Alligator mississippiensis: one gene and its partners. The protein of the gene in region 3 purifies or fractionates together with the protein of the main gene of each other region. This does not show direct contact. Links are inferred from orthologs where the notes say so. Each region holds a gene or a part of one and is shown on either strand. Other genes may lie near its edges.

Region 1 (10,013 bases), about 140 Mb from region 3:
ACTACAACATTAAATTTAAAAAGAGAGACAAGAATCTCATTTATACAACATCAAGAAGCAAGTCAGTGCTTAGCACTATCAAATCTGAACCCGTTTACTAAGTCGTGAGAATTTCTCATGCGTTTCTTTAGGCTCTCCACTAAAAATACTTCAGTGCTAACACCCTCACATTGCCCCATCACTCAGAAGCATGCAGTCCCAGATAACAAGGTTAAGTTATCCATAAGACATCTATAGATTCCACCCCAAAAAATAAAATCTGCAGCTTTGAGCAGAACATGCAAATTCTGGACGAAAAAAAAAAATGTTAGCATATTCCATATGCAAGCAGTTTCCCCTCAATGCCACTGACACTTTTACCCTATTAAACCAGTGAAACTGGCCTCCTTCTCAATCCAATCAGCTCAGTAGGGCCATGTCCAGACACGCAGGCACGTGCAGTTTGTGGCTCCACAAACCAAACATTTGGAATATTAAAATGGGACCAGTGCTGCAAATTTGCAGGGTGGGGGCAAAAATTGCTACCAGGATTTCTAGGTAGCAAAAAAAAAAAAAAAAAAAAAAAAAAAAAGGTACCAGGAAAAAAAAAAAAAAGTGCAGAGGATAGGAAAATACTGTGCCAGAACAGAGGCTTGATCCTCCAGCGAGGCACTCTGACAGCTGGCCAGAGCATCTCTACTACCCCATTTGCGACCCTGCTGCTCCAGCATGCCAGGAGACAGGAAGGGCTGGATTCCGGCAGTTTGCCCAAAGCAGGACAATATATCCCATAACAAAGCACACATAGGCCACGTCCAGACAAGCACAGACATGTGGAGCCGCACATGCAGGTGTTCCTCATATTCTTACTTTGCAGTGTGAGGGAGAACGGGGGGGGTTGACACTGGGAGATTCCCAGGCAAGAAAACCCCCAAAACGGGGTGGGTACATGTGGCAGCAACGCATGCCACCCAAAACCAGAGCCTGGCTGGCTGGAGCTATGCTCCAGCTGCCACCCAGGCTTTCTGCCAAGGTGACAGCCCCAGGAAGCCTCCAGGAAAGGCTACTGGGGCTAGCACAACTGTTGGCCCCAGCCTCCCCTGCCCCACCTAGGATAACTTACCACGCGCCAGAGCGCGTATGGCATGGGTATTCCCTGGGGACAAGGTTACTTGTCCCCAGAGAAACAAGTGTTCCCCCTTGTCTGGACATGCCTATACAGGGTGTGTGCAGAGACAAAAAGTAGTGGCACAAATCTGTGCCGCTACTATTTGTACCACTGCAAATACACACCCCTACACATCTCAATGTGGCTTACATGTTAGAATTTTCTCTGATCCAGACTAGGAACCAAGGCACTCAAAATTGTCTTTACGCTGTTGCTAATGTGTCAGTGCTAAAGGTTATAGATATCAGTTGTTTTCTATATTGAAAATGAAAGACTGCTTAAAAGCACAGGAAGACATTGTGGGGTGGGGAGGAAGGTGAGGGGGAAAAAAAAAAAAAAGAACCATTATTATTTGCTACAATTTCCTATACACTTCTCTAATACCTGCATTTAGCAGGTAGAAATAAACAGCTAGAGCAGATTATTAGGTTTACACTTATAACAGCTTCTGAGATCTCAACACATTTTACCAACATGAATATGGATAGAGAGAGATCACCATGAGGTTTGGAAATATTTTCACTCCCCTGCATTTTAAAAAACGGGAAACTGAGGTACAAAAAAGGAACATGACACAAGAGTGGCAAAGCTAGAGGAAATGAGGAATCCTAGCTCCCACATCACCTGCTTTAGCCACAGTACTATACATCATGAGGCTTCCCCACAGCACCACTAACAAAACCTGTAGCTGATTAACTTCTGCAGTTGTTAAACTCAGGGTCAATGCACAAAATTAAGTTGTGAATGAAGACAGTTCCCAAACTACCTGTTCTTTACATGTGGCAACATGGGCAAAATATCATTATCTTGCTAAGACAAGACATTCTGCAAGAAATTTGTTTTGAAATAAACATCATGGGACATTTCCATCGAGTCCCATACCAAAATCACCTCATACTGTGGCTCAAATAACTCATGTTTGTCAGCACTCCACTGTGTGAGAATTCCATGGCTGTGCCAACTTCAGAGGGAGAAACAACTAGAAGAGCAGGAATAAATCAATGTTCCAGAACAGCTTAACTGGTGAAGCAAGCGTTTAATCTTTGGACAGAGATCCTTAGGTTTCTTGGTTGGGAACACAGTCAAAACCAGCTTAACTGTCAGGATTCTTTTCTGCCCATTATACTTGGCTTCACTTCTAGACTTTCCCTGCAGATGTCAGAACATGTGGGAAACAAGCATTTCTTTTTACCGGGCCCTAGAGAATGCGTGGATCAACAGCTTTTCGTTACAACATCCCACTAGAACTGATCAGACACTGAATTTTTTATTGCCATGTCCCCTGAACAAGTAAAGGGGTAGCTTTGGCTTTATTCCAAAAAACAAAACAAACAAAAACCCAACTCTTTCACCTGCCAGCCTTGCTTAACTGAGCTGTTTAACATTCTTCTGCAAGCTAGGAGGAGAGAGTTGGTTGCATCTGTCCTGCTTTCAGAGGCAACAGCCTGCTTTGTCAGATGCTGTCTAATAAGGAGCCATTCAGCCTGCCTTTTGCAAAAGGCTGCTGTTTGCTGCCTTGTTTACATGCCAACATCTGTACCATTAAAGCTAGACCAGGTGAGAAGATTGTTCCCCAGGCAGCAGATTAGTTAGGCTGTTCTTGTTTTTGGAGCCTTCAGCAGCCGCACACACAAAGCCAACATATGGATTACATTCATTCGGGGATACAGGTTTTAGCCATGTTGATCTACAGTCAAAACCAGTCAGAACTCTTTGTTGAGGCAATATCTTTCATTAGGTCAACTAGGCTAAATTTTGCTTTTTTGTAAAGCCATCTACTTGGTCTAATAAAAGATATTACCTCTACCAAGAGTTCCGACTGCTTTTGCCTGTAAAATCAACACGGCTAAAACCTGTATCCCTAAAACAATGAAGATATCATAATCAGCCGTTTTTAAATGAAAAAAAATGAAGTTAACAAAAAAGCAGCAAAATTCAACACCTGAGACCTGGAGGCTACCACCCCCATGGGCTCCAGCCTTTTGTTCAAGCCAAATTTGCATACCTGCAAAACAGACTTTACACAACAGATATAAAAAAATAAAATAGGAGATGCAAGACTTTATATAATCTTGAGAGGTTTTTTTCTCCCCCCCTATAACCATATTATTTCAATAAAAGTTAGAGAGGTAGAGGGAGATTAAAAACCTTGCCTGCAGTGCTGGAAGCCCAAACACAGTATCTTTGTACAAGAAGCACTTGGTGTTCTATAAACAAACAGCAGATCACAAGAAAATGCAACTATTTAGATAAAGTCACATGCAGAAAGAAATCCTGGCGAATCCTTGAGGCATAATCAGGGGATTTCAATGGTATTCACAGTGCTAACAGACTGCCTGCAGCCAACACAAACATAGTTTGGTCTGTAGCATATACTCCACATTACAATGCATAAATAAGTAAGTAAAAAAAAAAAAAAAAAAGCAATAATGATTACAGTGAACCTTGACTACAAGAAATTGTATGTTTCACTCCCTACTGGAGTGCATTACCTACCCTGGCTAGGCCACTGCAAAGGACCAGCTTATGAGGTCAGGTCTGCAGCTAGGCTGGGACAAGCCAGCCACATAGGGGCCACGTAGGCACAACCGTGGTAAACATAGCAGATTGGTAGTGGTCATAGGGGTAATCACATTATTGGGAACTTGGAGACAGCTTGCTAACAAGAAGCTGCACCTGGACAGCGTCCCTCCTCCTACCGCTAGCCCTTGGTCTCAGAGAGATGTTACTGTGCCGGGGGGGGGACTGTCAAGACCCCCTGATTTCTTACAAGCAACAATCCCCGACCGACAAGCCTCTGGAGTGGTGTTCTACCCTTTCCCTTCACGGGGTACAGGTGTCCTTTTAACCCACATCAAACGCTCTGCTTGAGCAGCCTGAGCAAAGATGCAGAAGCTGTCTTACCCACTTAGCGTCAGGGGCATTTTGATGTGGATGGGTTAAGCAGTGCCTGCCATCCTGGCCCTTGCCCTTTACACAGGGTTTGTTTTTTCTTGCTCTGACCAGCTTTGCCCAGGGCCAGGGCTAAGCCCTGCACACAGGAGTAGGCTGGACCCCCCCCACACACCTACCCCAGCAAGCTCAGGACAGCATGGGCCCTGCCTGGGGGGCACCAGGCGGGCAGCACAGACAGGGCAGAGTGGTACTCACCGTGTTAGCCAGGTGGACAAGCAGCCGCAGGGGCTGGCCAGAGAGCCGGGGGCCCCACTGCAGGGAGGAGAGGAGAGGAGAAAAGTCACAAGGGCTTGCAGCTGGAAAGGCACCAAGCCGGGGAGACCCCACAGGTGCCCCTCCCCCAGCCCACCCTCTAGGGCTCCTCTACTTACTGCGTCCCGCGGGGGCTGGAACCCAGCGGCCCCGACCCGCTCCCGGCACTGGAAGACGGCGCTGGGGGCGGCGGTGAAGCAGCGCACGAAGCCCAGGTAGAGGAGGAGCAGGAGCAGCAGCGCCGCCGGCAGCAGCAGCGCGAGCGCCATGGTCCCAGCGGGCAGGGCAAGGGCGCAGGGGCGGTGAGAGACCCGGGCTGCGACGGCGCGGCAGCGGCGGGGCCGGGATTTGTGGCGGGGAAGCACGTGGGACTGCTGCGGCCCGGGGGAGGCGGGCAGGGCAGGGCACATCCCGGGCCGCTGCAGATGCAGCACTGGCTGCTCTCGCCAGGCCACGGCCAGGCGCCCCCCGCCCCTGCCCGGGTGATTGCCGGCCGCGCGGCTTCCTGGCTACGGGGGTCTGCCCCGCTGGGCCTCACGTGCCCCAACCTTACACGGGGGCGAGGGGGTGTAGGAGGGTGTGGGAGAATAGGTAGGGGGAGGGGTGTGGGTATAGAAGGTGCAAAGGGGTGCGGGTATAGGGGGCATAGAGGGTGGGTGTAGGGTATAGTGGGGTATGGGTGTAGGGAGTGTGTGTGGAGGGGGCGGTATAGGGGGGTGCGGGTGTAGGGACTGTGGTGCTTCTTCTCTGGTGACACTTGCCCCTTGGGGTCGTTTGCTGCTGCCGGCTTCCCCCGTGTGGGCCCCGCTCCGCGGAGGCCAGGAGCGCAAGCTTGGTACCCGCTGGAGGCGCGCGAAGCGAGCGGCTGGCATTGACTTGCACCCCGGATTGGAACGCCAGCTCGTACTGTCACAGCGACTGCCCAATCAGCCACCGCCAGCCCCCAGCCAGCCAATGGCAGTTGACGCGCGACTGGCCTATGGGGGGAGCGTTCCAAGCCATCAGCCAATCCGCGCCTCGCTGCGAAGCCAACTCGATACAATGTTGCAATGCGGCTTCCGGCGCCTGAGCTGCTGGGTGGTGCTGTTGCCCCGGGGGTGGGTAGGGGGCTGCCGGGCCGAGGCAGCGGGAGGCGGCCGGCGGGATGTCTCGCTTCTTCCAGGCTTTTTGCAGTAAGCCCCAAGGGCGGGCAGGCGGCGCGCCCTTGAAGGAGGAGGACTTGTACCACTGGGGCCTGGCAGGTCAGTGCGGCCGGCGGGGCCGCCCCGAAGGAGGGGTTGCCTGTTTGCGGGCTTAACTTGGCTGGATCCGTCAGGGACTTGCCGGCCAGGCCCGGTGGCTTTAGGGTTGGACAGTATCAACCTCCTTGCCTCAGGGTGCTGCGTGGAATCCTCCCCCTTTGACAGTCCTGCCTTGAGCAGGGGCTGGACTAGGTGACCTCTTGAGGTCCCTTCCAGCCCTGCTCTCTTACATAACCATAATGCACCTTGTGGGCCAGGTTCTTCTGTCAGGTAGTGGGTGGAGCTCCAAAGTAAAACCTTCATTCCTTCAGTGGAGCTTCATTGGCCGCATGACATGTCCTGTAACCTCCCTGCAGTTGCTTAGCCTGCGTGGAACAGGGAGCAGAGGTTGTTTTTGTGGAGGTCCTCTGGAGCTGAGCTGCTGTAAGTGGGTCTGTTTAAAGGGAGACCTCTGAAATGAAACAGGTCTCCAAAATCAACTTATCTGCTGACCGGCCTTGTAAGCTTGATGTGGAGAAGGATGGGCTTCCCTAACCTGGGAGAAGGAAGAGGGTTTTGGTTATTTTAATGAAAGGAGAAAAAAATACACACACACACACGCTGTGACTGCTGCAAGGAGCTAGGGTAGAGCTGTGATCCACTGCGTGCACACCCCTGCCCAGAGCATACAGGCTGCAGATTGTGACTCTGCCCCAGCTCCGGACTACGCTGCCATGGCTGCAAGATCCCATCCCGAATGCAAAGCATCTCCATGTCTTGCCACGTGCCCTGCCAGCACTGCTGGGGCGGATCTCCATGAAAACCCCTGCCCCATGCTATCACAGTGTGGCTGCTAAGGTCCCCATGGAAACCAGACCTAGGCTTGTGGGCAGGGGCTGCTGGGAAATGAAGTCCAGCTACCGGCCAGGTCCACCATTTTGCCCATCCTTGATATCCATAGAGTGCCAATTGCTTCTGCTGCTTGACTTTACTGCAGCCAGCTGTGGAGGAGATTGGTGCAGGGGGGTTCTGCAGCCCTGCTCCTCTGGCTGCTGACAAGCAAAACTACGTGATATGGGTGCTTGTGCAACTGCCACCCCTGCAGTTTTCACCCCCCTGTGGTGTAACACATACACATGACATGAGTTTTGCTTTCAAGAATTTGGGGTGCAGTTGCCCCCAAACCCCTGCACCAATCTTCTTGAAACTTGGCAGGCTTTGTGGCCTCAGCAGGGGCTACCGCCCCTGCAAGTTTCAGACAAAAAGCAACAAAGTTATAGATATTTCATTGATTCCCCATTATACCCTATGGCCAGATCTCTGAGGCGGCTCATAAGCTTCGGACGGATCAAAATGGGAACCCGGTCCGGAGCTCCGGAATGGATCCCTGACATCCAAAGCGGCTGGATCCGAAGCCCGATCGAATAGCTGTCCGCTCACACAGGCCTAGTGACCACTAGCTAAGTCGGGTTGCTCTGCTTTGCGCTACGGTGATGATATAACCCTGCATGATTTTTGCTCTATATTTCATAGGGAGCATTTCGCAGAATTTGGAATAATGGCCACGTCCTACCACCCAGTCCTGTGCCTTAACCACAATAACATCCTTTATCCTCAAAGTAGATGGACAGTTTGTAATAAAATCACCTCCAGTTTTTAACAGAAGGCTTTTACTCCATCCCCTTCTGTGAGAGAGAAATTCTGAACTTTGCAGCATGCTGAGGAGGGATAAAGCTATGTTCTGACAGCATGAGGGCACATGGCCCTCCAAGGAAGGGGTTTATCAAGGAAGATGACACCCAAGCAATTTCCTTTTGTTTGATTTCTAGGAGGTTATGGAACTGGTACCTTTACTCACCTCACCCACAGCAGTCCAGCTTGCCAGGGAGGCAAGTTCCAAATCATTAAGGGCTTTCAAAGTTAAAATTGGCACTTTTTGTTCAGCCTGGAAGCTTATTGACAAACAATGCAGATTGCGAAGCACCTGTAAAATATTTTTTTGGCATGAAAGCTGACTTGGTAGGTAGGCCTAATCTGCCCTGTGTTTCTACATCTGCAGGATTACAGGATGCAGTGCCAAGTAGGTTGTGTGACAGTTTTGTGTAGCTTTACCAAATCACTTTTGTGTTTTAGGTATTCAGCTACGTTCCTACCAAGTGGATGGGGTGAACTGGCTAGTACGATGTTATGAAGATCAACATGGCTGCATCCTGGGCGATGAGATGGGTCTTGGAAAGACTTGTCAGGTGCCTCTTTTTATTTCTCCATGGACAATCAATTTTGCCTATATTTTGTCTTCCCAATGTTCCTGCAAGAGGTAGGAGAGGAATTCCTTAAAGTTTATTTAGATTAGGACCAAATATTGATGTCCTTGAGAAGAAAAAGGCCTAAATCTTGATTCCTTCTGCTCTTGCTCAGTTAAAACACTTTTGTTTTTTAAAATAAAAGGCAAAATTATATTCTTAGGGGGAAGACTGCTTTGAAGCTCCTGCTTAGCTGACAACACAACTAGCTATTAGTATCATAAGATGTTGCTTTCGTGACTCTCTGGGTAGATCATTTTACAAAGTTCAGTTCTCAGAGCAGAGATGGTTAGATTTGTATAGCTGTTTCATAGCCTTTTTTTTCCTTGTCAAAATAAGCATTCCACTTCTGTTAAGAATTTGGCAAAGCGAGCTTGGTGTGTTTCTTCAACTGACAGTATTCCCTGAATTTTAAGTGCTATGCAAATTACTCACTTAAAATTAGCATATAGTACATTGCATTCTTTCAACGTTACAAGGGAAAAACATTTCTGAGTAGGGGACAGAGTGCTCCCAGATTAGTGATAGAATTGGACTGCAGCTGCAGTGCATTTGATTAATTCTTTTCCATAGTTTGCAGTGCTTATGGTCAGGGTTTTGCCATAGTGAGCCTGTCAGGAACCAGCAGCAAAGATGGTGTTGGAGGGAAGGTTTGTATTTAGATTGTGGGGTTTGTTTTGGAACTGCTTATTATTGACAACAATTCTTTTCTTTGTGTTCCAGACCATTTCTCTGCTTGTGTATTTGTCTGGAAACTTTATAAACAAAGGGCCATTTCTTATTCTTTGTCCTCTTTCTGTACTGAGCAACTGGAAGGAGGAACTAAAGAGGTGAGCCTTAGGATTATGATGCAGACATTTGCTCTCATATCAGTGAGTTGCAATGATCACTTAGCATATGCTTACACGGCTTATGGTTTTTTAAAATTAAAGGCAAGACACTGAAACATCAAGTTTGTGGCACAGAAAGGCACAGTTCACAGCTAATGCATGGTTTTCTGTGCAACCTTGTGTATTGGGATGTCCCCTGTGGTAGGGTGCATAGTACTGGGTGACTCCTGGCACAGCTGCCCCCTACTTCTCCTGGCTTTCATTGTTAATTGTTGTAACCTCAATGCTCAACATCCCACTGGAGGCAAAGGTTAAGGTCCAAATTAAGCCTGCCCACACACAAGTGTATTTACTGTGTGCACACGGATCGGGTAAGGAGAACACCATTACATCTGTGTGTGTAAGGCAGACCTGTGTGCACTAGATCAGTTGATGGTGTGGCTATTATTCATGTGTTTTAAAACTGCGTGAGTGTTAGAAGAAAAAGACTGCTTTTGAATTGTGGGAATTTGCTGTCTCTCAGGAGGATGTGATAACTGATCAGGCCATGAAGTGAACTGATGTAAATCAACAAGAATTTATTTATTGTGAGGCATGGCTCAGGGAATATACATTGCCATCTATTGTGAGAAGGATATTCAGATATTTATGGTGGGGTGAGGAAGTAAGAGAGAACTCCATTGCGATGACTTCGCTCTCTTTCACAGTACTCCTTCCCTCTCCATCCTATAAAGATTATGAAGGCAGTTCTGTCTTGTGCAGAGGCAGAAAAAACTGGGAAGGATATCCAGCATCTTTTTTCAGTGAAGGATTTTGTTGGTCCTCCTGGAATGTTATGCTGGGGAAAGAATTTCTGTTGATGTTCGTGGGAGCCTTGCCTGGGTGAAGAGCTCTGGACTGGGTTCTATGACTATGACTTCAGTGGGAGCTGTGGGTAGTTAGCATCTCAGGATTGTTCCCTGCAATGAGTGTTCTGGATAGATGTAGATTCCTGCTTGTGCCCAGGGGATCCCTACTACCTTGTAAAAAGAGCTCTTGCTGGAGAAGGAGGTTCGTGTTGGGTGTGGTGTTGGCTGGATTTCAAGGTTCAGACTGGAAGCCATATCCAGAATGAAGTTCAGATTTGGCAGCACTGTTATCTTGCTGCCTTCTTGTGAAATCTTCCACTCAAAGTAGTGGACATCCCATGACAATAGCTGCTGTTCTGCCATGTCCCATCTTGGATGGTAAGGCCTATGAGAATGCTGCCAATTTCATGAGCTTCTGGACTCCTCCACGCGACAGCCAGAAAAACAGGATATAACCT
Region 2 (10,064 bases), on a different chromosome or scaffold from region 3:
GAAATACTTACATGCATTCATTCTACAGTTTATTTTAGTCAAATATGCTGTTTTTTAACTCTAACAGTATACTACATATTCTAAATAGCACAGAAAGTACAAAAAAAGAAGCCAGTAGCTGCAAATGTTCCCCAAAATTTTGTCAAGGCAACAAGAACACCTTCTATTTACTGAAAAAAGGATTAAAGAACAGAGAAGCATTTATCCAGCCATGTATTTGACATAAGAAATGCTTAATTGGACCAACAAAGACGCATATTAGCATTTATTTAAAACTTTTAATTTACAGTTTTTAAAGCTTTTTATATAGCGATGGTATGTAAACATATTCCTTTTTTTTCCCCCCACACACATACACTGGAGAAACTTAAGTGCGTGTATGCTCTGCTTCACAGCCAGAGATACAGAATCCAAGTCTTGTGGATTTCCATTCAATTTCCTATCCATTTGGCACTACATCACAAAAAACCTTCATCATCCAAAACTAGGGGTGCACCAATCGAGATTTTCTTGGCCGATACTGATAGCCAATTATTCACCATGCATATCAGCTGATACTGATCCAATCCTGTACTGATATACAGGACCACAATTGGGCAGCGTAGAGAGCAGTGCCCTGCAGGTAAGTCTGTGAAGGGGAAGGGGCAGATAGAGGCTCCCACAGTGAGGGAGTGGGGCAGGGGCTGGAGCTGGGGCTGCTGCCCAGCCAGGGCAGTGAATGGGATGCCGGGGCAGGGAGTGGGCTGGAGCCACAGATGGCTCGTCCAGGTTATCAGTCCAGGAGCTTAAAAATGGCAGTGGAGGCAGCCGCGCTTAAACTAAAACTTGTCAGATTTGTGCAAGAGGTAGATGCAGGCTGCCTGCTGTGGGCTCAGGACTCTCCACCCTGCTGCCTTTTGCATCAGGAGCCGCGCGCTGGCCACACCACATACCCAAGCCCACCTCGCGGCTGCAGGAACAACTTGCCACCCTCACTGCTGCTGGACAGGCAGGGGTCACACAACCAGCACACAGCTTCTGGGGTAAAAAGGCAGCAGAGCAGACAGCCCTGAGCCCACAGCAGGCAACCCACATCCACCCCGTGCACAAATCTGAGGAGGCACATGCCCCTCCATGCCTCCCCTGGGGAGCATGCGCAGCAGTGGGGAGCTGCCCCTCCCCACCCCCCCGCACTCCCCAGAGCTCCATCCTGTTCCCAGCCCTGGGGTCTCATTCACTGTCCTGACTGCGTAGCACCTGCCCCTGCTCTAGCCCCTGCCATTCTCTCCCCCCATTTTCTCCCTCACCGTGAGGGGCCTCAATCTGATCCCCCCCCCATGCCCCTTCCCTTCCCCACACTCCTTACCCTCCACAAACTTACCTGCAGGGCTCTGGTCTCCAAGCTACCATGCTGTTTTCTTGGCTGCAAGTATGCTGTGGCTGCGTGCATGCATACAGCATTTATTAGTTACTTTATCAGCTACACCAGCCAAAAAAAAAGCCAATAGCCAATAATGTTAATTTTCCTTTTATCTGTGCTGATCTGATATTGCACCAATATATTGGTGCACCTCTAACCAAAACCATCAATAAAACATTCATAACAGGATCAGGAACAAGAGTAGCCACAAACATATTTGTGACAAAACTTAAATACATGAATAACAGTAAATGAATGAAAGAAACCCCACTTCTGTTAATATTAGGAACAGTAAGACAATTCTGGAAAGCTTTTATACCATAAAACATAACCTTTGTCACAGTTTACCATAGCTTTTCTTCCATTTTCTTAACTGGCTCTACTTAGTATGATACAATTGTACTATTCACGCTGTACTTACAACTCCTGTGTAGTAGCGTAATCCAACTACATTTCCTCGCAGATTTCCAAACAGGACAAACAAATCTAAATCCTCATCTGTCCCTGAAGTGTCATCTGTATACAGAAAGTCTTCAAACCCAAGAGCAGAATCAACATCACCAGAAGAAGAACAGGAATAAGTCCTATTTCCTCCATAGCCTGTAGATGAACCATAGTTTCTGCAAGAGGACACAATGAAAGTTACCTGATAATGTTTTAAAACAGTGGGGCTCAACCCCCTGGCCCATGGGACAGAACCAGTCTGCAAGCCCCATGTCATCTAGCCTTTGGGGATCCCTAAAGGTCTGGAAATTTGACAGTGGAGAAGCAGTGGAACCGGCTGCCTGCTGCCAGATTTCTGAACCCATGGGAAGCCCAGGCAGAGCTGGAAGGGCGCAGTGCCAGGTCCTTGGGCCCAGTACTGACACACGAGGCAGAAAGAGCGGTGCCACACACTTGGGTCCTAATCCCAGCATGCAAGGGATAATGCCAGGTACAAGGGACCCAATCACAGCACATGGGACAGAGAGGGTGCAGCTCTTGGCCCCAGGGCCCAATCTGGCCAATGGACTGGCCTCACACCACTGGTCTGGCCTCTGGGGGGCCAAGAGGCTGAGCAACGTTGTTTTAAAACAAGTGTGAATATTTTAATTACTACCATTTTTTCTTTTATAAGCATCTCTAGTTCTACCCTTTTACAGTAAAATTATACTTACAAAATCAGTTTCACATTGTTTTACCTCACTATTTTCACATAGTTTATACTTACTTTAAAGGAAAGTCAGACATAAAATTAGTTTTACATCAGTTTCACACAATACACAGTAAAAGAGATTTGACAACATAACAGGATCCTGACCTGTTTCAAACTGCTGCTGAGGTAAGTTACATCTCACCTCAAGAACATCAGAGGACTAAATTACCTGTAATTTTTCCTGATGATTGTAAGCAGGGGTGCTCAATCCCCAGCCTGTGGGCCAAATTCAGCCTAAGGAGCCCTGGCATCCAGCCCACAGGGTTATGTGCAACTTGATGAAATTTGTTGGCAAGAGAGCAGTGGCACCCCCCGCCAGGTTTCTTAGCCCTGCGCATCCGGTTCAGGCCAAGGCCATTGCCACACAGCCCATTTGAGGCTCTGGCTGGGCCTGCCCTATGCAGCCCCTGGCAGACCCAGAAATCTGGCACATGGGATCAGGTCCCCCCTCATCCCCACCCCATGCCCATCCAGCCCATGGGATGAAAAAATTGGGCACTGCTCCTTGAGAGGATGCAGTTTTCAGCTGACTACAAGACCACGGCATCAGTACCACATCTGCATTTTAGAATGTATTACATGGAAGGAAACTGGTGATAAGATTTCATTTTCTTTCTATGTCTGCTTTATAGAAACACCAGAAGAATAAAGGAAGAAAGTCTCCAGACAGAGGCAGAAAGGAAAGGGAGAAAACTCTAACTTCTTCCACAGCAGGGAAAATAATGTCTTTTCTTACAGCAACCACAGAAAAGTTGTAAGAAAACAAAATTACTCTATTCTTCTCCCTGCTGCAACTAGGGGGAGGAGGACAGAAAAGAGTGGAGCCATTCCAAAAATAAGTCTTCCCACCCAATATTCTGAAAGGAGGGGGGCAAGCCTAATTTTTTACATGCTTTTCTAATATGCAAACGAGACCCCCCTAAAAAAGATAATTACTGTACATTGACACAAGACCACCTGCACTTCATTTCCTAAAGGAGGCTGGAAAGAAAGGAGCACTGGCTATCACAGAACACTGCTCCTGAATGTCAGTGCCCTCTTATTCTCCCACCTTCATCAAGGCTGGAAAGCATGAAGAAACATGAACCATGTTTCCAACCTTACTTACAAGTCTTTCAAATGAAGCCTGGCCCAGCAGAATCTTTTGAATCCTAAGATTATGCTTTAAAGTGCTCGTGTATGACAGGTGTGGAAATAAAGGTCTCTTGCTGTTTGTGGGAACCGCTAACCAGCCAAAGAGACTCTGCAAGAGGCAAGGATTTTTGTAGGTGCTATCTTTTACTGGACCAACTGCATACTGGGCCCAATAAAACACCATCACCCATGAAACCCATGGCCCCTCCCATGTTATCTGGACCATCATCACACCTTCAGCGCCACTCCTGCACTGCAAGAACTTGCCAGGCCGTCCTGCAGCTGCCTCCCAGCGCGCCCATTTCCGTGCGGGCCTCTCAGTCCCTGTCACTGCGCTACAGCTTTACTGGGGCTTGGTCTGCACCGGCTCTGGTTTGTGCCGTGCAGGGATCGCTGACACCTGCCTTCGGGTATCAAAGGTACGGCCGCGGAGCCACGTCACCCAGCGCCTGGGGCTCGAGGCCCGCGCGCTGCGTCGCCGCACAACTGGTCGCAATGGGGCCCAGGCGAGACGCAGCTCCCAGGGCTGGCGCGGGCCCCGCTCGCCATGTGCAGGGGCCGAAGCATAGGCCCAGCCCGCACGACCCCGCACCCTGGATCAACCCGTAGGGCGGAAGAGTTCAGTGCGCCCGGCCCCCCCTAGGGCAGGGCCAAGGCACCCGGAGCCCCGCCCCGCCAGGCTCGCCCCGCCCCCGCGAAAGACCCGCGGCTCCGTCCCGCCCGCCCCCCGGCCGGCCGTGGGCCTCACTTGGCGAACATCCAGGCCCCGAGGCGGAGAAAGGCACCAGCGCTCACAACCCGCAATCTCCCGCTGCCCCGCACCGGCTGCTTGGCCCTACTGACCGGAGTGACAGCAGCCGACACCAACCCCCGCCCGCGCCTCCAGGGATTTCGACCAATGAGAACAGGACAATGGGGAGGGGGCGGGACTTCCTCTCATTTGCCCGCGCGCTCTCAAAGGGCCTATAAGGACCCGGTCCGGCGCCCGCGGAGGCCTCAGACTAGCCCCGCCCCCCTCGCCCTGCGGGATGGAGTGAAGAAGGGATCGCTCTTCACTGGGTCGTCGTAGCGCTGCTGCTGGCGGCGGGCGCGGCCCTTGCGGCCACATGGCGTGTCGTGCCTGAGGCAGACACGGTTCTTTGGGTCAATACGATATAATTTATTCGACCAACTGAAAAAGTTGGAAAAATTCTTTGCAAGCTTTCCCCCAAGAGCTTGCAAATCATTTTTTCCAACTATTTTAGTTGGTCGAATAAATTACGTCAGATTTACCCAAAGAACCTTGTCTACGTCCTTAGACAACACAGATACAACCTATAGCCCTGATGTTATACCTAACACATACATGACCGGCTGCGTCATATAATGCACTCTCATGTGCAGTGCCAGCTCGGTGCTACCCACAGCTGGGCGTGCCACACAGCCATTGTGAGCCACGCCTGTGTCGCATGAACATAGAAACAGGATGTTTGAGGTCACGTGAACGCATTTTTTTTAAGTTTTTCACAACTCTGAGCGTTGGCGACATAGAGGGTGCATGCGGGTGTGCATCCACCCCTTGAGATTGGCAGTGCACCCCCTGAAAGAAGCGCCGCCACTGCCATGGCACCTGCAGGTGGTCACTACTCACTAACCCCCCACCACCACCATCACCAGCAGCGTCTGCATGTGATCACTGACCAATGGTCAGCACTCACCATGCCTCCGCCGCCACCACCGCTGCCTGTGGGCAGTCGCCATGCCCCCCCCAGCCTCCAGGGCACGTGCAAAGTACTTGCTACAAAGCTCCAAACAGCTATAAAGTTAGACCTTGAAAATGTGTACTAACTTTACAGCTGGTTGCTATCCAGCTTTAATTTACAAGTAGCAGGGTGTCCCCTGCAGCTTGGAGCCCTGTCAGCTGATTATGCCCACCATAAAAGCTCCAACAGCCACAGTCCCCCAGGCCTGGGGTTTTATGGATCCTTGAGCCCATGAACGATGCATGCCTCTGGAGGCTGAGCAGGGCACGGCGACTGCCAGCAGGCAGTGGCAGCAGCGGCAAGCAGGGAGCTCCTGCAGGTGGCTGCTGTGGTGTCAACAGCAGGGGTGGCAGGGTGGTGCTGAGCAGTGACCGCCCACAGGTGCCGCCAGCAGGCGCCGCCAGCAGTGTCAGCAGTGCTTTTCTCAGGACGTGCACTGCCAATCTCAGGGGGCACACGTGCACCTGCATGCACCCCCTATTCATTGCCAATGCCTGAGCCTTGGGGATCACAGCAGCAATGATCTCCCAGGCCCAAGGGTGTGTAGGGTGCCCCCACAGGTGGAAGCTCCTCAAGTGAGGAGGCTCCCAGCTGCAGGAGCTTGCCTCTTACCTGTGCAGGATCAGGCTCCCCCAACACATGCAATAACAAGATCTAATGTGTGATCCCACAATCATGTCTCCTGCCATGCATGCATGGTATGGCAGGAGGCACAACTGTGTAGATCTTGTGTTAGATCTCATGGCACCATTACTTGAATGTGTAGTGAGGGCTAAACACATACTCTTTCTATATACTGGGGATATTGTGTGATGGCGATTTACTTCGTGGAGGTGTTTACTACACTGAACCCCCAACAGCATCATCAAAAGGCAGAAATGTAACTGGGCAGTTCTTGGCCCTCGGATGGTGGTGCATGGGGAAGCTGTGGCAGGTGGCACAGCAGGTAGGAGGGCAGGGGCTGCTATTTTTGTGCCCTCCCCCGCAAGCTGGTGCCCAGGGATAGAACCCCTGGTCACTCCCTAGCTTGCTTCTCAAAAAGAATTGAAAGTTCTCTCCTTGCAGGATTGCAATCTTCGAAAAAATGGTTTCTTTATGGGCTGCACAATAAGTGAAATTGATCTGATGCTGACCACAACTTCTGCCACAGCTGTAACTGACTAAGCTGTAATTCAAATCTAACAGATATCACTGTAATCATGATAAGGAAAATAAAACAATATTTTGTTCCTCCACACACAATTAATGCATAAAAAGAACAGGATAGATTTTTTTTAAAGCTTTTTTTGCTTTCCATGTTATAAAAACCTCCACCATTCAAAGACGCATGTAATTAATTTCAAGAACCAAGTAACTAACTCAAAGGATGTTTTCATGAAGTTTTAAGGAAAAGAATGCTATCCAGTGAAATAATAATTGGTCTCTTAGAAAAGGATTTATAACATTGTCTTCAATGATAAACTTTCCTGCTAGCTAACAAAAATTATTTTGCTTTCTAGCTAGAGATAAAAATCAGTGTCAAAAGAGAAAATTGTTTTTCAACTGTTTACCCATAAAATCTTCCAGTGGTTTACGTGCGGATTAACAATTGGCAAGCATTCTAAACAGTGAAATTAATACATAAAAGTTTGTTGACCATTTAATATCTAACATAACTTCAATTCTTCATTATAGTTAAGCAAATTATGCACTTATCCAATGGGTATACAAGTAGAGAACACCATAGTGCATTTTCACTTCGTTCATAGCACATTTTAGGTCCCACATACAGAAAAAAATTCTAAAAGGCATTTTTCCCAGCTTTTCTGCACAAAAAGTTACAAGCAGATGGGATACCAGGAGGCTACTTGTGAACTAGTCATGAAAATTCTAACAAAGCAATTTCCCATAGGGATTTATCAATTCATTGAAATCAAAGCATTCCACACAGATGGTTCATTTGTTAACAAATTTCAGCCGGCCTTTCATCAAAAAATGGCCTGCTCACATTCCTTACCTGGTAATTTGACATGGAACAAGAATCTGGAAATGACTCTCAACCTCTTAGCACCTCCTATATCGAGGTAGTCCTCAAGATAGACCGAGCCACAGAACTTCCCAAGAGCTTCACAGGCTCAGGGCAGCCTATCAGTCAGTCTGTTTTGGAGTCAGAAACCCATGTGACTTCCAAAAGCTGCTGCTCCATTCCATTTTGCAGAGGACTGTGAAAAATTTTGCTGTCATTTTGAGTCTGAGAAAATCAGAACTCCAAATATCAAAATCTTCTGTAAAACAGAATTACCTTCCCCCTCCTTCTCTAATGCTTATGATCTTACTGTTACCCCATGCTTTCCTTCCTGTGTTCGTTGTAGCCCGTTGTTGTCTTTCGAACTGTAAACTTTCTAAGGCAGGGAATTTCTAATATATGTGTATAGTTTGGAAAAAATTGACTGAGGCCTCAAGACATCATCATAATCACTGCCATATATCAATAATATAAGGGCAGGATTGCAGCTGCTCTCTCATCCAGAATGAACAGCACAGCTATAAAAAACACAGAGGGGAATACAAAAATATGTAGCAGATGCCAAACAGTTTAGGTTCACCCTTAGTATCAGAAGTAATTTCCCCACACATTTGTTTTTTAATGAAGTTTTATTGTCACTTTTTTGGAGAAAAAAGGCATGGGAGCAGCTGAAGCTGCGGTGTATACAAGGGCTAGGTATAGACATTCAAAGAGCCCAAAGTGGAATCAATCAAAGTTATGCAGTTTTCTGTAAATGGCATAGTTTAAATCAGTAACGAACAGGATGCACCCTTTCTTGGGGGAGGTAGGGGGGAGGAGAATTTTAGACTTGGTTCCATCATTTTTACACCAGTCTATGCATGCTGAACTTCTGCTCTGTTATGAATATAGTTTGATTTCCAGTCACTTTGGGTACCTGTACAGGAGTGCAGAGGCCGTTCCAACACACTGTAATCGATTAATTAAGTCTGCTGCAGTGTGGTAATTACCGTGCTCCAGCAGCCTCCCATATCTCATATATCAGCATCCCCGTGCTTCAAAACAGCGGCAGGGGTGCTTTAACTAAAGCTGCTGTAATTAAAGCAATGCCCGCCCCATGTGTAAAAGTGCCCTTATAATGGTAAAAGTGTGATGTTTGTACCTGGCCAAAGTCCCTACTCAGGCTGAAAACTACAGCCTATATTTTGAGGCTTTTATTCAGATTCATTTGAAAAAATTAAATTCATAGTGGAAAAGGAAAAACATCCTTATTCTTTAAGCCAATAAAAAAAAAATTGTGGAGTTTTGTAGAGATTAAAAGAAGCAGCCAAATCAGCATGTTAAGTGAATCAAACATAATCCTTCCTATTATTAACTTTTAAATTTTAGTAAATAAGAACATTGCAATAAATAAAAAATAATAATTCATTTCCCATCTGAGAGAATCTGCTCAATGTTTCACACAGAATTGACACAAGATGGCACTGTTTTGCAGCTTTTCTTTATCAATGGCTTCATCATCTGTAACTTTTGCCTTTGAATCCAATGAATCCAATCTCATCTCCTTCTATGACCAGGTCTCTCACCACCTGGACATGGGAAACAAGGTAGAAGGTATATACCTAGACTTCCAAAAGGCTTTTGATCTAGTATCCCATGATATCCTCGTGGGAAAACTGGAAGACTGTGGGCTCAGCTGCTTGATGGTTCAGTGGGTGGGAAACTGGCTACAAGGTAGGACCCAGAGAGCTCTCATGAACAGATCTGTGTCATCCTGGTGTGAAGTGGCCAGTGGTGTCCCTCAGGGGACCGTACTTGGACCGGTACTTTTCAACTTCTTTATCAATGATTTGGATGGGGGAGTGAAAAGCTCACTGGCCAAGTTCACAAACACCAAGTTATGGGGCAGTGTGATCATGTCAAAAGATAGGTTGCAGAGACAGACAGACCCAGACAGGCTAGAGTTGGGCAGAGTGGAACCAGATGAAGTTTAATACTTGCAAGTGTAAGGTGCTCCATCTGGAGGCAAACAACCCTCAACATACATACCACTCAGTGGTAACAGCTTGACTTGCACCAGGGCCGAAAGGGACCTAGGAGTAATGACTGATCATTGCATGAATATGAGCAATCAGTGCAAGGTGGTGGTCTGTAAATAATATGCAGGGCAAATAACATGCTGACATGTGTCAACCAATGCATCTTGTGTAAAACTAAGGACATGATACTCCTGCTGTACTCAGCACTGGTGAGACCACAGTTGGAGTACTGAGTCCAGTTCTGGGCACCACGCTTCCATAAGGATGTGGAAAAACTTGAGAGGGCCCAGAGAAGAGCCACCCGCATGATCAGGGACTTGCAAGGCAAGCCATACGAGAAAAGGCTGAGGGACCTGAGCCTCTTTAGCTTAAAGAAGAGAACGCTGAGAGGGGACTTGATGGCGGCTTACTATCAGAGGAGTGCATCAGGAGCTCAGTGAACAACTGTTCACTGGGGCATCCCCAGGGAAACCAGGATCAAAGGATACAAACTCCTGGAAGGCTGCTTCAGGCCTAATACCAGGGAAAACTCCTTCACAGTCAGGGTGTCCAGACTGTGGAATAAACTCCC
Region 3 (10,252 bases):
GTGGTGCTGAGTGCAGGGTGGGGGAAAAAGTGGCCCATGCCCGCCCCATGGCCAGTGCCCCACACTGCAGCCACTCACAGCCCACATGGGGCTGCATGTGCCTGCTCAGGACAGCCCTGCATGGGCTGTGATAGGCTGCAGCACGGGGGTCTGGGCACAGGGCGGGGGAGGGGTCACTTTTCTCCATGCCAGGAAGGAGACAAGGGAAAAGCTGAGCGGGTGGGGAGGCAGGGAAGTGGCCTCTCACCTGCCCCATGGCCAGCGCTCCCTGCTGCAGCTGCTCGCAGCCCACACAGGGCTGTCCGGAGCAGGCACAGGCAGCCCCATGCAGGCTGCAAGTGGCTGCAGTGCAGGGTGCCATCTACGGGGCAGGCGAGGGGCCACTTTTCCCCCCCGTGCTCAGCTTTTCCCTGGACCACTTTTCCCTGGGCTCCTTCCCTGCCTGGGGTCCTCCCCTGCCCTTCCCCCCCACCTTCCCCATTACTTTACTTGAGTTTCCGATGTGGGGCCATCACATGGTCCCAGGCCAGAAGCCCCTGCTGGGGCTTCTGGCTTGTGGGGCGGGGCTGAGCGGGCCCTGTTGTTGTGGGAGCCCACTGGGCTTCCCCTGGGTCCTACTGCCCTTGGTTCCTGTCATTTTTGACAGGAACCAAGGGCAGATAAATATTAATTTTCTAAATGTTTTAGGGGCCCTGCGGGCCAGATAGAATGGCCTTGTGGGCCAGATCTGGCCCATGGGCCATATTTTGCCCACCCCTGCCATAGAGCCATGTTGCCCTCCACCAGTCATGCAGGGACCCTCCTTGGGTCTCCACAGATCAGTCAGCAAAGGAGAGAGAAGGACCTATGGATTGAGTGGATTATTTTGACCTTCCCTAGAATTGGTGACTTGTGGCTGAAGGGGTTGGATGCCTCACTCCAACTCTCCTCCCCTAGGGATGCTCTGCTAAAGAGCCTTCTTTCATTTCTGATGAGCTCTAACTCTTTTCATGAGAAGTTCAGATGAAAAAATCAGATGAAAGGGATAAATTGCATTGAGTCTGGGTCCAAGATACATTGGGGTTAAAATCTTGATTGTGTTCTCAGAATCATGGACAACAGACACATGGACTAACTTCAAGCCACTTATTAAAATGACATTGGTATAAAACCAATATGAGTGGAGAACAGCCTGATTCCCCCTTTCCTTCCTCCCTCTGCTCCCTCCCATGTCTTGTGAAAGAAGTAATCTAGGGGTCCAGGCAAGTATGTTTTCCTGCACAGACTCTCTGGGTGACTGACAACAGGTAAATAACTTCCTGCTTGTGTTTCTTAAAATAGAGCTAGCCACTTTGGCGTGGAGACCTAATGGAGTTCATTCAAAGAAATGCACAACATTTGTGCACAGGACTGTTAGTTTCTGAAAGATGGGGGCTAAATCCAGGGAATAAAGATAAATTTATAGCCTGCAATAAAAGGAACATGTATGCAAAAGGAACTGATAGCTCCCCATGGCTGCACCCCCAACTTCTGACAGAACTCTGCACAGGTCCAGTCCACCAGCACTGAGTTAAATTTGCTTGAAGCCAGGGGACTGCTCCAGCTTACACACAGCTGAAACAGCTGCTGCAAACAAAAAATATGTAGCTTCAGATGATGTGCAAACAAAGGCATCCCAGCAATGCCACCTTTTTGATGGCTATAGCCCACTCTATTAGCAAGGGGTAGGGCTGGGGAACAAGTCCCTACACTGGCTTTATGCTTCTGGAACAACAGCCTTATACTCTCGGTATCATTCCTCAGCCCATTATAGTGAGTATGCAGGTGATGCCATACAAGTGGCAACTTGGAGACCCCTGGCATTAGTCACTGTATACACACACAATGTAAAGAAGATCCCTGCCCCTAAGAGGTCTAAGTCCTAAACAACAGACAAAAGATAGCAAAAGACACAGCCTTCACCTCTGCTCTCAAGCTCCCTGTGCTTAGTATGTATGAGAGGAACAACCAGGGTTTAACCAACTCATTTCTGGATTTGGCACTTGCTGTTTGGGCATGGGTGACTGATGCCTCCTGAGTCTGCAGGGGGCACCCACAGAAGCCGTCAGCAGTGGTGGCAGCAAGGGATGGCCCTGCCTGGGAAGGCTTCCCCATGCCACCCCTACCAGTTGCCTATGTGTGTGGGAATGGGTGCATGAAGGCAGTCTCAAGGGTGTTAGGGAAGTGGTACAGACATACCTGATGGCTTGTATACTAAACAACAGGCACAGTGCTTGATAGTGGAATTGATTCTGTAATCCATGTGTGTGAACAATGTGACAGTTTATCTATATGGCAGAAAGCACTGAGTACAGAAGCTTGAGCTGCCTCAAAACAAAATAACTCGGGTACCAGAAGCAGTGTGACTGTAGTAACATGGTAGCTTTGCCCTGACTCATTTATCCTGTTTTTCAAGGTAACACAATTATACATCTCCTGGAATTTGAGTCATCTTGTTCAGTTCATCTTTAAATAAGCTAGTGTATGTCTATCTACATGACACTGCATTTTGTCACGTAGATGCACTCTTAATGAGGACAACTGAAATGCTCACCACAGCAATGGCTGTAGGAGTGAATCATTTATGAAACCATCATATGAAATATCTACAGGTATTTTTCAATGAATTAATAGCTTTTAAATTGAAACAGCATAATTAGCATGGTTTGCCTCACCTCACCTCAGTCCCTGGCAAAATCATGGAGCAGATCCTTAAGGAATCTATTTCTAAGCACTTGGAGAAGGTGGTGATTAGGAAGGTGATTAGGTGATGGATTTGCCAAGGGCAAGTCATGCCTGACCACCCTGATTGCCTTCTATGATGATATGACTAGCTCTGTAGATGCAGGGAGACCAGTGGAAGTGGTATATTTTGATTTTAGCAAGGCTTTTGATGTGATCCCCCACAATATTCTCAGAGGTAAGCTAAGGAAGTATGGGCTGGATGAATGGACTGTAAGGTGGATAAAAAACTGGCTGGGTCACTGGGCTCAGAGGGTAGCAATCAATGGCTCAATGTCTAGCTGGCATCCAGTATCAAGCAGCGTGCCCCAGGGGTCAGTCCTGTGGCCGGTTTTGTTCAATATCTTTATCAGTGACCTGGAAGATGGCATAAAGTACACCCTCAGCAAGTTTGTAGATGACACCAAGCTGCGGGAAGTAGTAGATATGCTGGAGGGTAGGGCTAGGATTCAGAGAGACCTAGACAAATTCGAGGATTGGACCAAAAGAATCTCATGAGGTTCTACAAAGACAAGTGCAAAGCCCTGGAACAATCCCATGCACCGGTACAGGCTGGGGGCTGACTGACTGGGTGGCAGCTCTGCAGAAAAGGACCTGGGGGTTACAGTGGACAATAAGCTGCATATGAGACAACAGTGTGTTTGTTGCCAAGAAGGCTAACAACATCCTGTGCTGCATTGGTAGGAGTGTAGCCATCAGATCAAGGGAAGTGATTATTCCCCTCTGCTCAACACTGATTAGGCCACATCTGGAGTACTGTGTTCAGTTTTGGGCTCTGCACTACAAAAAGGATGTGGACAAATTAGAGAGAGTACAGTGGAGGGCAATGAAAATAGTGAGGGGGCTGGCACATGACTTATGAGGAGAGGCTGATGGAACTGGGTTTATTTAGTCTAGAGAAGAAAAGACTGAGATGGGATTTAACCTTCAACTACCTGGAGGGTAACTCCAAAGAGGATGGAGCTAGACTGTTCTCAGTGATGGGGGATAACAGAACAAGGAGCAATGGTCTCAAGTTGCAGCAAGGGAAGCTTAGGTTAGATATTAGGAAGAATTTTCTCACTGGGAGGGTAGTAAATCACTGGAACAGGTTGCTGAGAGAAGTTGTGGACTCTCCATCCTTGGAGGTTTTTAAGACCTGGCTAGACAAAGCCTTGGCTGGGATGATCTAGATCAGGGGTCAGCAACCCCCAGCACGCGTGCTGATCATGGTACATGAGGCCATTTTCCTCGACACACATTGGGGCAGGGGAGACAGCAGATGTTTGCAGCCTCCTGGCTGCAGCCGGCCCCAGCTCTGGGTAGATGCTGCCAGCCAGGAGCCAGAGCTGCTCCCAGCAGACAGCTCAACAAGCCCTGCTGGGAGCAGCCTGGGCTCCATGGCTATCAGCAGCTATCCAGAGTCGGGGCCACCTGCAGCTGGGAGTACAAACAGCTGCTGCCTCCCCAGCCCCAATGGGCCAGCACCTGCTGCCTTCCTGGAGCCTGGGGCTAGGAGACAGCTGAGGCTGTGGCCGGGGCAGGAGGGCAGCAGCTATTTGTAGCCTCCTGGCTGCAGTCAGCCCTGGCTCTGGGTAGCAGCTGATAGTCAAGGAGCCTGGGGCTGCTCCCATGGAAGCCCTGCTGCAAGCAGCCTGGGCTCCGTGGCTATCAGCAGCTACCCAGAACCTGGGCCATCTGCAAACATTTGCTGCCTCTTTGCCCTGGCCCCAGCCCCAGCTGCCTCCCAGTCCCAGACCAGGCCTCTGCCTCCAGTGAGGCAGCAGATAATGGCAGTTCTCCCTGCTGTGGTGCCCTTGCCACTTCTGCAAAGCAGGGTTGGAACCTGGTGCAGCAGGGCACAGAGGGGAGGCACAGAAAGCTGCCTGTTCCTAGCTCCCCGCTGCCCTGCCACACTTCCCCTGCAGGTGGGGGCAGCAGTGAGGGGCACAACCCTGCGCTGCTGCCCACTCTGCTCCCATACACACAGGGGAAGTGTGGCAGGGCAGCAGGGAGCTCTGATCAGGCAGTTTTCTGCCCCCCATCCCACTGTGTCCTGCTGCTCCGGGTTCCAATTCTGCTTTGCAGTTTGCAGCTGGCCCAGGTTTTGGGTAGCTGTTGACAGCCACAGACCCTGGGCTGGGGGAGAGGGGCTTTGGCTGGGGGGCAAGGGGCATCAGGGCTGGGGGACAAGTGCTTTGGGTGGGAGGCAAGGGTCATGAGCGGGATTGGGGGGCAGGGGCCTTGGCTGGGGGGCACAGGGCTTTGGGCTGGGGGGCAAGGGCAGCAGGGCTGAAGGGCAGGGGCTTTGGGTGGGAGGGAAACGGGCACAAGCAGGGCATCCTGCCATGTACCCCCTGCTTTCATTTTGTTTTTGCATGTCCATCTTGTCCCTCAGAAGGTAGAAACTAAACTGAGGCCGCTTACCCTATGGCATCACAGATTAGCTTCAAATTTTGTAGGTTAGAACACAACACTAAAAAAAAAAAAAAGAAAAGTTATTGGAAAACATCTGATGTGTGGTAAACTGCCACCCTACTCTACCCGTTTTAATTTAGTATAATTTGTTCCTCTGTCCAAAGCCTCATTTAAAAAAAACCCCACCATATTCACTGGAATATCCAGTGTGAAATGTCCTTATATCTTTTATGAAAAAACAGCAAAAGCATTTCACTCATAAAACACTAGTCAGCTGGCACGTTCTGTCAATTAGCTTTTATGTCCTAAGGTTTGAATTTTACCACAGCAATGGAAGGTGTTAGTAAGAGCTCAGGAGAACAAGCTTTTCTGGTGTTCCCATATGGCTTTTTAGGATATCTTATGGAAACAGGTTTTTGTCTTTCCCTCTCAGTTGCTAAAATTCTAAGCAATCATGTTTTAAGCTTAGGGTGAACAGGAAGATTGTTACAGTTTCTTTGTTTCAATGTTTCCTTTGTGCTTTATGTTTCCTTCTCTTGTCTATCTGCTTTTCTTTTACTTTTCTTCACAAACACTGCATGGAGCCACATCAGTGATCATTTTATAAAAGTAAAACTGTAAACATTCTAAATGTAGCCATAAATATAGCACTTCCCTGAGAAACAGTCTGTTGTTTCAGACACAAGGGACTGCACTATTAGACCTATGTAGTCAACTGTTCTGTTTCAAGAATTGGGAACTCAGCCAAGAGTTCAGTAGCACATATATCTGGTGAGTAGGGCGTGGTTGAAAGAGTTTGAGTCCTCTGCAAACACGTTAGCAATGAATTGTGTTGCTGGATATTTATAAAAGCTTCAATACTGTGTTCCTGTTTTAAATATCTCCCTCAGCTGGAAGTCTAACATGCTGATGTACAGTTTCCTGGAAAATGATTGTATGGACACACCCAATGAGTGCTATTCTTATTACAAAAACAAAAAATGCAGTGTCTGTTGTTCGTTTAGCATTCACTATGGCCTCTATCTAAGACCTATTGTGTTGCCATTTCTTCTGATATCTGGTAGTTCTTACAGAGTGCCAACTTCTGGAGACCTGTGATAACGTGAGACTCTCAACTGAAAAATAAATTCCTTCTCTCTTTTGAAGAAAGAAGTAAGCTTGAAATCATTAAGCCAGGCGGATGAAGACTGAGGAGGAGAACTTGGAGGAGAAAAGGTGAAATGTTTTATTTGTGAAATGTTAAGGCTTTAAGGATGCCTGACTCATGATTTTGGAGTACTTGGGGGTTGGCAATTCAGTATTCAGACTGTATCTTTTATTGACAGGGAATGGGTCAGGAAGGAGTGAGATGGGTATGCAAAGGTTATGATATAAATGGCAAATGTAATGAAAGGCTGTTAAATGAGAAGACATTTAGAACATAGGATTGAGTATTCTATAAGCTAAATATAAAAATGATGCCTAAGGTACAGGAAGTTAGATTCCCTTTCACTAACTTAGGCCTTGTGTTTGTATAGTCCTGATTCAGCAATTGGTGGCTAGCAATCAGTGTATCTGCACCAGGGCAGGCAAGTAAGTTTAGACATTATACTTAAGCAAGTATAGACATGGCAAAGCAGGAATTTGAATTATGTGAACTAATCCAAGTGAAACCTGAATTTTAGTGATGGAACCCCAAGCAGACAAGGGGGTTTTAGACAAGCAGACTCTTTTAGCTCTACCTACATTCACTTAGAGTCTTATGAACACTGGTGGAACAGGGGTTTTGGGAAAAGGGGGGGAGGGTACAGGAGCAGTGACCAGTACTGTAGGAGTAGCTGAACCCTGATCTTGGCTGCATCCCCCCACCAGGAGGGCAGATCATACCACGGGAGCAGCAGTGGGGTCTTTTTTTAAGCCCTCAGACCAGGTAAAAATCCTGTGCCTCTCCATCCATTCTCAGCACCGCCTCTCTTCTCCTCTATCCTCAGCTGTAAATCCCCTCCCATCCCCTCTCCTGCTCACCACTGCTGCTGTTCCTGGCTGATGAGTCACCACTACTGCATTGCTGCTGGGAACAGTAGCAGCAGTGACAGCACCGGGCAGGTTCCTTCTCTCTGCCTGGTGCCCCAAGGAGTTCCCTGCCAGCAAGAAGCAGGTGTGGAGTGGTGAACCCATCCAGTGTTGCTGCTGCTGCTGTCCCTTGCTCAGCTCAGTTGCAGCAGCTCTGGAGCCTTTCCCCCCTGTGAAATCAAGTGGAAGGGGTGTGGCTTGGGAGGGTTGTAGGGCGAGGAACTTTAGAGTAATTGGAGCTGGGCTCAGCAGGAGGCAGCAGCAGCAGCTTGTGGGTTCCTCTGCCAGGTGCTTGCTCCTGTGTTGGCAAGGAACATCGTGGGGGGCGGGGATAGAGGGGGGATGGGGGAAAGGAGGGACATCAGATAGAGAGGAAAAACCTGCCTGTTGCTGCTGCCACTGCTGTTCCTAGCTGGAATGGGGCGGGCACAGTTCTGGGGCTTACCTAGGTTTACCATATTCTCAGGATCAAAAAAGACACGGGGGGGGGGGGAGGGCGAAGTGAGCTGAGGGGGGTGAGGGGGCAAGGGTATTTGATTGTTGAGGGGGCAGTGATATGCCTGTGCCCTGCCTCTGCCCCTCACTCCTAAGCCCCTGCTCCCCCAGCCCTGCCAGTGCCCCTCACTCCAGACCTGCAACCCCCTGTCCCCCAGCACTGCCAGAGCCCCTCACTCCCAACCCACAGCCCTGTCCCCCCAGCCCTGCTGGTGCCCCTCACTCTCAACCCAGAGTCCCCTGTCCTCCCAGCCCTTCTGCCCATGGAGCTCCTGCCTGCATGCACAAGCACACACACACACACACTTACTTACTTACTTACTTACTTGCCGGAGTGTGGGCACAGAGCACGTGACCCCTGACAGCCAATCAGCTTGCCCGCTGCTCCCAGCCTCAAACATCCAAGCTGCTTGTGCCTGGGAAAAGCAGAGGCAAAGCAAAAAACCCAGACATTTGCTCGCATTTTAAGAACCCACCCAGACATGAGGATGGGGGCCAAAAGAGGACATGTCTAGGAAAATCTGGCCATATAGTAACCCTAGGCTTGCCTCCATCAGCCAGGGATGGTTGTAGTGGTAGGCAAGGGATAGGAGTGAATGGGAGAGGAAAGGACATGCTGCTACGGACAGAGATGAACAAAGCAGATGCCAGGAGTGGGGGGTAGGGTGGGGAGTGAGGGGCGTATGACTCTTATCTGATTTGGAAATTTAAAAAAATGTCCCTGCTGTTGCTAGTGTGGTGTAGTCCAAAAGGGGTGTTTGCCCATGCCACTACAATCCTTCTGGATCTGCCTCTCAGGAGATGTAAATGAATGTAATGGTGTCTAAGTGATACCATCTTATGAATCACATCTGAAGACCACTACACACTAGTTAACAATAGTTCCAAAGAAAACTGGGATTGTTAGGCCATAGGGAGAGAAAGTGATAGAAAAGCTCTAATTTTGACTCTCTGCCACCAGACTCTCTTTATAATGGAATGGTCTTCTTATGGTCAGAACCATTTTGGACTAAAAACGCAGTACAAAAGAATTGGAGGATCTTGGACCACAACCTTCTGAAACTATAAAAAAGAGATCTGGAAATCATCCACATTTGGTTAGACTTCAGTGCCAAGGAAAACAAATACATTTGAGAAAAATCTTAGTATAATATGGCAGGCAAGCTTCCTTGGGTAGATGTGATATCTTTTATTAAACCAACTGAGTAGTTACAGCAATATTTAGAGGAAAAAAATCTACTGAGTGATAAGCAGGGGCTCATAAAACACGGACAGGGACTTATATTCATGTTGCATGTTTTCAGCTTTTCTAAGCTGTATCATTCAGATACCATGTCATTCAGATGAACAAAGCAAGCATTTGTTTTAATATTACAGCTTTCAGGCTCAGTATTTTGCCTCTTACTCTAATTTCTAGTACAAAGCAGACACCAGTATTCCTCCTAGCATTTCCTTTGTGTCAAGTAGCAAATAGCCAGCTGTTCTCTCTTCATGTCATGTAGTGGACAGAGTTAGGGTAGGGAGGAATGACCTCGTCTGAGAAAGGGTAAAGCCGAGTGCATTGTTTCCATTCAGAGGCAGACAAGGTTCAGGTTCTTTGGGTGAATCTGATATCTTTTATTAGACGAACTTAAATAGTTGGAAAACAATTTTTAAGCAAACTTTTGGGTCAAGCTAAGGAAGTTTCAGCAGTTGATGTGTGCTCTTCCTAGATGGAATGAAAAGTAAAGAAGCCAGGGGCTAGGCTGGTATACATACAAGACAGGCAGTCAGTGAAGATGTAGACTGAGGAGTCAGTGGGTGAGAGACAGGCTGGGTGGGAGGGAGAGAAGGGGGATGAATAGTGAAGAAATACCTGGGGAGTCAGATGTCAGGTAGGTTATAATGTGCCGTAAATCCAATGTCTATATTTAGTCCATGATTTTTTGTATCCAGGAGGATGATGAAGTGGAGTTCATAGACTCATCTCTGGGAAGTGTTTTGTAAGTTTCCTTTAAGGATCAGGACTGAGATTGGAGAGAGAGTGGTTTTCTTGTGAGAAATGTGCCTCCACAGGTAATTGAGTATTCCTGTCTTTGATAGGTTTCCAGTGCACAGCTGTTGTTTGGTCTCTCCTACGTATTTTCCATCAGGGCATTTGGTGCATTGGATGAAATCTATTACATTTCTGGAGGTGCAGCTATAAGATCTGGGAATACTGATGGCTCTGTTGTGGGGTGTAGTAATAGTGGGGGTGGTGGAGATGTGTTGGCAGGTTTAGCATTTCTTGTCATGGCATGGTCTGGATCCATTTGGTGTGTTCTGGGTCTGAGGAATTTTGCTTCTGGTGATGAGGTTAGCGAGGTTCAGTGCTTGTTTGAAGGCTAGGATGGGTGGTTCTGGGAAGATCTCTTTAAAAATAGGGTCTCTCTCTAGTATGGGTTGCAATTGTTTGAGGATTTTCCATATGGGTTCGAGGGAGGGGTGATATATCATAACCAGCAGTGTGTGATTTGTGGTGGGGTTTATTCTGTACTGCAGCAGTTCTTCACGTGGTATCCGGGTGGCT

Evidence for each region.
Region 1: the proteins of RNF146 (region 3) and CHD1L purify together in Homo sapiens (co-immunoprecipitation; 3 studies listed by BioGRID and IntAct, counting the BioPlex papers as one, with this or other methods). This does not show direct contact. The link is inferred for Alligator mississippiensis from reciprocal best matches to the Homo sapiens genes RNF146 and CHD1L.
Region 2: the proteins of RNF146 (region 3) and HLTF purify together in Homo sapiens (affinity purification with mass spectrometry; 4 studies listed by BioGRID and IntAct, with this or other methods). This does not show direct contact. The link is inferred for Alligator mississippiensis from reciprocal best matches to the Homo sapiens genes RNF146 and HLTF.

What each region holds. Positions count from the first base shown.
Region 1 is NC_081824.1:251,906,131-251,916,143, forward strand, and holds the start of CHD1L (chromodomain-helicase-DNA-binding protein 1-like), read left to right. Parts: upstream 1-5,428; 5' UTR 5,429-5,498; coding exon 5,499-5,595; intron 5,596-7,707; coding exon 7,708-7,820; intron 7,821-8,600; coding exon 8,601-8,707; intron 8,708-10,013. Other genes in the region: uncharacterized protein LOC102572765, read right to left, coding at 4,298-4,354, 4,474-4,764. UniProt on the Homo sapiens protein: ATP-dependent chromatin remodeler that mediates chromatin-remodeling following DNA damage.
Region 2 is NC_081830.1:61,036,861-61,046,924, forward strand, and holds the start of HLTF (helicase-like transcription factor), read right to left. Parts: upstream 4,586-10,064; 5' UTR 4,488-4,585; coding exon 4,477-4,487; intron 2,020-4,476; coding exon 1,821-2,019; intron 1-1,820. UniProt on the Homo sapiens protein: Has both helicase and E3 ubiquitin ligase activities. Possesses intrinsic ATP-dependent nucleosome-remodeling activity; This activity may be required for transcriptional activation or repression of specific target promoters.
Region 3 is NC_081824.1:110,581,141-110,591,392, forward strand, and holds the start of RNF146 (E3 ubiquitin-protein ligase RNF146), read left to right. Parts: upstream 1-6,214; 5' UTR 6,215-6,372; intron 6,373-10,252. UniProt on the Homo sapiens protein: E3 ubiquitin-protein ligase that specifically binds poly-ADP-ribosylated (PARsylated) proteins and mediates their ubiquitination and subsequent degradation. May regulate many important biological processes, such as cell survival and DNA damage response.